Macaca fascicularis: one gene and its partner. The protein of the gene in region 1 purifies or fractionates together with the protein of each later gene. This does not show direct contact. Links are inferred from orthologs where the notes say so. Each region holds a gene or a part of one and is shown on either strand. Other genes may lie near its edges.

Region 1 (3,806 bases):
ATTACTGTTTCCAGCAGATTATTTTTAGACAATGCATTTTCTTCTGTGGACATGTGAACTGTTATGCACCATATTCTAATAAGAACACAATAATCATTTGAGAGGAAAAATACTCATTTCCATGGACAAGTATAAGGTGACTTGTGTTTTTTTTTTTTTTTGAGACAGGGTCTCACTTTGTCATCCAGGCTGGAGTGCAGTGGCCCAATCACAGCTCACTACAACCTCTGCCCCTGGACTCAAGTGATTCTCCCACCTCAGCCTCCCAAGTAGCTGAGACCACAGGTGCACACCACCACACCCAGGTATTATTTTTTGTGTTTTCAGTAGAGACAAGGTCTCACCATGTTGGCCAAGCTGGTCTCAAACTCCTGAGCTCAAGCAATCCTCCCACCTTGGCTTCCCAAAGTGCCAGGATTACAGGTGTGAGCCACTGTGCCCAGCTGTTTTTTTTTTTTCCTGGGGTTTCACTCTGTCACCCAGAATGGAGTGTGGTGGTGTGATTATAGCTCACTGCAGCCACAAACTCTTGAGCTCCAACAATCCTCCCATGTCAGCCTAAGGAGTGGCTGGGACTAAAGGTATGCACCACCATGCCTGGCTTGATTTGTGTTTTATCATCACCTCACATCAAAAAGCACAATGTTAGGCACAAGGCGTAAACCTGGGAGGCGGAGCTTGCAGTGAGCTGAGATCCGGCCACTGCACCCCAGCCTGGGCGACAGAGCAAGACTCCGTCTCAAAAAAAAAAAAAAAAAGTATCCTAAAAATATGCCTGTTTAGCACAAAAAGTGTTCATTGTGCTTAAATACGTGATCAAATAAATAAATTTAACTGTTTACCAAATATCAAATACACTTAAAAAAGACTCACCTAGCCAGGCACAGTGGCTCATGCCTATAATCCCAGCACGTGGGAGGCCGAAGCAGGTGGATCATAAGGTCAGGAATTTGAGACCAGCCTGACCAACATGGCGAAACCCGTCTCTACTAAAAATATAAAAACTAGCCAGGCGTGGTGGTGCATACCTGTAATCCCAGCTACTCAGCAGGCTAAGGCAGGAGAACTGCTTGAATTCAGGAGGTGGAGGCCGCAGTGGGTCGAGACTGCACCATGGCATTCCAGCCTGGGTGACAGAGCAAGACTCCGTCTCAAAAAAAAAAAAAAGACTCACCTAAAATTATACTTACCATTCTGGCTGCTGGATGTAACACTTGCATTTGTTTCAGAATGGTAGCACCATCATTTGTAATGGTTACATCACCTTTTCCATCTTGAATCTAGAAAATTTTAAAGTTGTATTTCAGTATGACACCTTAACAGTTTCATTAAACTTTTATATTTCAAAATAGAGAAGTTAATTTCCGTTTGCAAAGTACTGAATTTTAAATTATCTTCCCTTACATTAGCATAATAATTTAAGAATGTGCAATAACAGGCTGGGCACGATGGCTCATGCCTGTAATCCCAGAACTTTGGGAGGCCGAGGCAAGCTGATCACCTGAAGTGGAGAGTTCAAGACCAGTCTGACCCATGGAGAAACCCCATCTCTACTGAAAATACAGAATTAGCCGGGCGTAGTGGCACATGCCTATAATTCCAGCTACTAGGGAGGCTGAGGCAGGAGAATCGCTTGAACCTGGGAGGCGGGGGTTGCGGTGAGCCAAGATCATGCCATTGCCTGGACAACAAGGGCGAAACTTCGTCTCAAAAAAAAAAAAAAAAAAAAAGAATACGCACAACAGTCCAACTTTACAAAAGAAAAAAGTGCCTTTGTTGCAGGGTAATCTAAAAGTGAAGAAACGCAGACACACAAAAAAGAAAAAAAGGAAAAATATTATAAAGAAGCACTTGCTATCTTTAATAATTTCTTATTAATCAGAAGCATGATTTCCACCATGGATGCCCTAAAGGAGTACCATGCAATGCGGTGAACACAATTCTTATAATCAACACAGTAACTTTTTTCTTTTTTTGTCCTACAAAAAGGACAACAGCATTTTTGGGAAGGAAAGATTTTCAAACATCCAGAGAGGAGAATAACCTGTAGTATCATCCAGATGATCCTCCATTATTGTTTTACCCCCAGAGACCCACATTAGAATACAAAGTTACATCCATAAGGAATACTAAACTGAAGTCCCAACACTTGGATTTATAATACTTTCCACTTAACTAAATAATAGATACCTATGTTTGGGTATCTATTGGGTATCATCGTTTAAAAAGCATTAAACAAAGTATGAATTATAGTTTAGTCCTGTTGACTCCAAAGTAATCTCTCCTTCCTCTAAACTCCAGGTACCCTACACTTTTTACTATTTTTTTGGTTTTGGTTTGAGATGGAGTCTTGCTCAGTCACCCAGGCTGGAGTGCAGCTGTGCAATCTCGGCTCACTGCAACCTCTGCCTCCTGGGTTCAAGTGATTCTCCTGCCTCAGCCTCCCACCTCCTGAGTAACTGGGACTACAGGTGCTCACCACCATGCCTGGCTAATTTTTGTATTTTTAGTAGAGACTGGGTTTCACCATATTGGCCAGGCTGGTCTCAAACTCTTGACCCTGTGATCCACCCACCTCGGCCTCCCAAAGTGCTAGGATTACAGGTATGATACACTGTGCCTCACTCACTTTCTACTATTTTTATTTATTTATTTATTTTTTGAGACGGAGTTTTGCTCTTATTGCCCAGGCTACAGCGCAATGGCGTAATCTCGGCTCACCACAACCTCTGCCTCCCAGGTTCAAGCAATTCTCCTGCCTCAGCCTCCCGAGGAGCTGGGATTACGGGCATGAGCCAACATGCCTGGCTAATTTTGCATTTTTAGTAGAGACAGGGTTTCTCCATGTTGGTCAGGATGGTCTTGAACTCCTGACCTCAGGTGATTCACCCCTCAGCCTCCCTAAGTACTGGGATTACAGGTGTGAGCCACCACACCCAGCCCCATCTTTTACTTTTTAAACAGCACATCTAACCCTCCATCAAGGTCTTGCAGTGTGAACAGCAGTGCTCAATTAGTACTCAATGACTCAACTCTTTACCATTTTATCCATTCCTTTTGGTCCAAGGCTTGTTCTAATAGCATCAGCAACCGCTGCAGATGGAAAAAAAAAAGAAAAGAAAAGAAATTAGAACTTTTTTTTTAAGAGACAGGGTCTTACTATATTGCCCAGGGTGGCCTCAAACTCCTTGGCTCAAGCAACCCTCCCACCTCAGCCTCCCAGAATAGCTGGAGGTACGGGAAATCAAGACTCCTTAAAGAGAGGTTTTTCCTTGCAAATGATCATTGTGTTCTTATTAGGATATGGTGCATAACAAATCACGGTGTCCACAGAAGAAAATTCATTGTCTAAAAATAATCTATTGGAAACAGAGTAATTAAAATAATTATTTTAAATGTATGATGCTTCACTTTTTTGTTAGTCAACGTACACAGTATTATTATTTTGAGACAGGGTCTCACTCTGTCTGTCACAAGGCTAGAGTGCAGTGGTGCGATCTCAGCTCACTGCAACCTCCGCCTCTTGAGTTCAAGTGATTCTCCTGCCTCAGCCTCTCGAGTAGCTGCCACCACGCCCAGCTATTTTTTTGTATTTTTAGTAGAGACGGGGTTTCACTATGTTGGCCAGGATGGTCTCGATCTTTTGACCTCCATCTGCCTGCCTCGGCCTCCCAAAATGCTGGGATTACAGGTGTGAGCTACCGCGCCTGGCCTAATATTTGTAATCAGCTTATGGCAGAATACATTTTGAGGATTCATCTCATCTTCCTTCAGATGTCAAAATGGTACAATCTAGTTAGGAGCTC
Region 2 (4,298 bases), on another chromosome or scaffold:
TTCAGAAATTCGAGTCTATCTCAGAACCCTGAGGTCAATCTCAGAACCCTAGGTCTATCTCTGAACCTTGAGGTCAATCTCTGAATCTTGAGGTCTATCTCAGAACCCTCAGGTTAATTTCAGAAATTTCAGTCTATCTCAGAACCCTGAGGTCAATCTCAGAACCCTAGGTCTATCTCAGAACCTTGAGTTCTATCTCAGAACCCTGAGGTCTATCTCTGAACATTGAGGTCAATCTCTGAACCCTGAGGTCAATCTCAGAACCCTAGGTCTATCTCAGAACCTTGAGTTCTATCTCAGAACCCTGAGGTCTATCTCTGAACATTGAGGTCAATCTCTGAACCTTGAGGTCTATCTCTGAACCCTGAGGTCCATCTCAGAACCCGAAGTCAATTTCAGAAATTTGAGTCCATCTCAGAACCCTGAGGTCAATCTCAGAACCCTAGGTCTATCTCAGAACCTTGAGGTCTATCTCTGAACCTTGAGGTCAATCTCTGAATCTTGAGGTCTATCTCAGAACCCTCAGGTCAATTTCAGAAATTTGAGTCTATCTCAGAACCCTGAGGTCAATCTCAGAACCTTGAGGTCTATCTCAGAACCTTGAGGTCTACCTCAGAACCTTGGATCACACTGAGAAGCTCTGGAAGAGGCTCAGAGCCTTATGGCACTGGGGTCAGTCTCAAAGCCCTGAAGATAGCCACAGAGTTTTGAGGTCTGTCTTGGAAAAGTGGGGTCACAGTCTGAACCATGGCATCAAATTCAGGGCCTGGAGAACAATCTCGGAACCTTAGCCAATCACACTGAGACCAATCTCAGAAGCTTCAAAGCAGGAACAGAACCTGGAGTCCATCTCAAAACTTCAGACTCTCTGGGCTGAAAAGGACCTCGAAGAGTGTTCATCCAGCCCCCTCCCGGGACAGAAGTCACCTCCACAGCCTCCCTGGCCTGGCTGCCCTGCCTCTGCTATGTGCCCTCCTTGATGGGGATGCCTGGTGGCCCCTGCCCGCTGCCTGCCTCTCTGCTGGACGCTTCAACTGCTGGCTACTGTCTTCAGAAGTTGGGACTCATTTTCCTTCCATGAGGCTGAAATTTGCCTTCCTGGTCCCAGATAGGCCCTCTGTGACCTCTGAGGAGATTTCAGGATGAGACCCGTGTTCCCTAGGTCTGCTCTGGCCCCGGCTGCCCATACTGGGTCCCTCCCAGGGCTTCCAGACCCCCATCCTCCCTCCTGAACACGCTTAACACCAACCCAGTTACCTGCTTATGCATTTCAATGTTGAGACCATAAGACATCTCATAATACTGAAAAGGAAAAACCAAGTAAGAACCTCTGCAGTGGAGATGGGTGCCCTCCTCCAGTCAGGTGATGCCAGGGTCTTCCAAGAGCCCCCCAGGTTCGGGGGATCACAGCAGGACGCAGAGCACCCCCAGCTCCACGGGGTCTCAGAAGAGAAGCCCAGAGGAGAAAGCCGGGGTTCTGCCTGGAAGGGCCCCCTCTACTCTCCCCAGACAGGCAGGGCAGGTAGGAAGCGTCCAGAGGCCCTGGCCCCACCAGGCGAGAGGTCCTCCCTGTCTCCCTGTTCCCAGAGCTGGGTGGACCCTCCGAGAGAGAGACCCTGAAATCCCAAAGCCGCCCAATGTACAGACAGGAAAGACGAGGCTCGGAGAAGGGCAGGGACCTACCCCAGAGTCCACCGTGGCTCAAAGCCCTGCCCGCCTCTCCCCGCACCCTGGCATCATAAGTGCCCTCACCATGACATAATGTCGCTGCATTTCCGTCTTCTCACTGGCCAGCTTCTCACATTCTAGCTTGAGGCTGGGAAGGAGAGAGAGGGCAAGGGGCTCCCAACCGCCCCATGTGGGCCGGCTTCCAAAGTGAGGGGCTGGATCTCCCCCTCCCGACTTCCTTACAGACCTCCCAGCACCTCCTGTCCCAGTCCCTCCCCGCCCCTTCCTGGGCTCCCAATGCCCCAGCTCTGACTGTCCCCAGACCCCTCTGCACCTGCGCTTTCACCTGGAGGCCTTTCCCGCGCCCTGGGAGCCCCTCCTCCCCGCCCTGCTCCCCGGAGGCCCCGCCCCGCCCCGGCGCCCAGGTGAACTCCCGCGGCCCCTGGGGCGGCCCCCCCTCACCTGTGGTACTGAGCCTGGAGAAACTGGAATTCTTCTTTGATGCGGTCGCAGATCTCCAAGATAGAGAACTTGAAGGGCTGGCCGGACTGGAGCGGGGTCTGGGGGGGTTTGGGGAGGGACGTCAGGGTCTGAGTTCCAGGACACCGGGGACCCCCTCTCCGCAGCCCCCACTCACCGGGTGCCTTCCCTGGGGGTACATCCTGCCGATCCCGGAAGCCCTCCAAGCGCCACCAGAGCTTGATGATATGGAGGCGGCAAGAGTGGGGGAGGCTGAAGTGGGGTGGGGGGGAGGCTGCCCGAAGAAAGAGGGAGGAGGGAGAGGCGGCGCGGGGCAAGGGACCCTGGAGTCCCTGGCGCGCCCCCAAGCGCGCGCGCCCGGGGTCGTGGGAGCCCCTCCCCGGGCCGGGGCGCGCGGGGCGGGCGGGAGCAGCGGACGGGGCGGGGGCGCGGCGAGGGCGGCCGCGGCAGCCGGCGCAGAAGGTCGGGCGCGCCGCGGCCGGGTTTCGGCGGCGGCGGCGCGGGCGGCGGGCCCCGCGCGGAGCCGCCTCCCTCCGGCGGGGCTCGGCCGGGAGCCGCAGGCTGAGCCGCCTTAAGGTGGCGCGGCCGCCCCCACGCACCCGCGGCCCGCCCCGCGCCCACCCCCGCGCGCGCCGCCCCTCCCTGCGCCCGCGCGTCCGGGTCCCCGGGCACCCGCCCCCTTCCTTCAGTCCCTGGGCCTGTGGGGAAACTGAGGCCGAGTGGGGAGGCGCCCAGTGCCGCAAAACGGGGTCCCCACCCCCTCCCGGAGGGGCGGGAGGAGAAACACCAGTGAAGAAATTCACATGGTGTTACCCACCGTTGGGGGGGCTTGCGGAGGGCGGGGGCCCCTCTGGAGTCGGAAATAGCTTTTCTGAGCAAGTGACATTGGGCTGAGATGGAAGGGTCAGGACGACGCAGCCTTGCCAAGCGCTCGCAGGAAGCCCTGCCAGGAAGGGAATCTCACAGCAAACACTGCTTCCCAGATCAGGCGGGGCCCTCACCCTCTGGGGGCCTCAGTAGTCTCTGCAAAAGGTCAGGGATGGTGCGCGATCTTTAGTGTTTAATTTTTTGCAGAGACAGGGTCTCACTATGTTGCCCAGGCTGGAGTACAGTGGGGCGATCATGGCTCACCGCAGCCTCGAACTCCTGGGCTCAAGCGATCCTTCCCCCTCAGCTTCTCGAGTAGCTGGGACTACAGGTGTGCACCACCATGCCCAGCTAATTTTACAATTTTTTGCAGAGATGACCAGGAGCGTCTCACTATGTTGCCCAGGCTGGTCTTGAACTCCTGGACTCATTCCTCTCTCTTCCGCCTTCCAAAGTGCTGGGATTACAGGCGGGAGCCACGGCACTAGGTACTACACTTAAATGAAATGGTGCATGAACGCCCTCAGCATTTCCCTACACAGAGCAAACTTCCACAGATAGGAATTGTATTCCTACTGCCATCACCAGTGGACTGCGCTGTCTCCCTTCTCACACTGGGTTTCTTGAAGGCAGGGGCCATGTCCCACTTAGAACTGGAAGAACCACAGCTCTGCCATCAGACTCAAGTCTCACCCAGGGCAAAGGCTCCAGCCCCGACCAGAAACCACAGACATCCAGCCAGCATCCTTCAGGCCCACCTGGGGAGTGGGAAGCTCTTATTCTCTCTGGAGAAACCTCAGGAGAGGTTCGTTAAGTCAATCAACAAACATGTACTGAGTGCATACTGTGGACCACACACTGCAGTAGACACTGGGGCACAGCTGGAAACAGAACAGAGAAAAATCCATGCCCCTTGATCATGCTTGGACCTGTGCCCTTAGATGAACGAATACCTAAGGTACCTAAGGGTTAGGGTTACAAAAACCCATTTTGTAATGGGCACAAGAGCCTTATCAATGGGCCAGGTCAATGGGCCAGGAGTGGTGGGTCATGCCTGTAGCCCCAGCACTTTGGGAAGCTGAGGAGGGAGGATCGTGTGAGCCCAGGAGTTCAAGACCAGTGTGGACAACGCAGCGACAATACAAAATAAATGTTTGCATTTTTTGTATCTCTACCAAAAAAATGAAAAAATAATTAGCCAGGCATGGTGGTGCACACCTGTGGTCCCAGCTAGTTGGGGGGCTGAGGCGGGAGATACCTGAGCCCCAGGAGGTCGAGGCTGC

The links.
Region 2: the proteins of CCT4 (region 1) and TLE2 purify together in Homo sapiens (affinity purification with mass spectrometry; 3 studies listed by BioGRID and IntAct, with this or other methods). This does not show direct contact. The link is inferred for Macaca fascicularis from reciprocal best matches to the Homo sapiens genes CCT4 and TLE2.

What each region holds. Positions count from the first base shown.
Region 1 is NC_088387.1:60,032,481-60,036,286, reverse strand, and holds part of CCT4 (T-complex protein 1 subunit delta), read right to left. Parts: intron 3,094-3,806; coding exon 3,041-3,093; intron 1,281-3,040; coding exon 1,191-1,280; intron 1-1,190. UniProt on the Homo sapiens protein: Component of the chaperonin-containing T-complex (TRiC), a molecular chaperone complex that assists the folding of actin, tubulin and other proteins upon ATP hydrolysis.
Region 2 is NC_088393.1:3,729,446-3,733,743, forward strand, and holds the start of TLE2 (transducin-like enhancer protein 2), read right to left. Parts: upstream 3,094-4,298; 5' UTR 2,966-3,093; intron 2,698-2,965; exon of another isoform or gene 2,367-2,697; 5' UTR 2,330-2,366; coding exon 2,306-2,329; intron 2,229-2,305; coding exon 2,131-2,228; intron 1,817-2,130; coding exon 1,753-1,816; intron 1,303-1,752; coding exon 1,258-1,302; intron 1-1,257.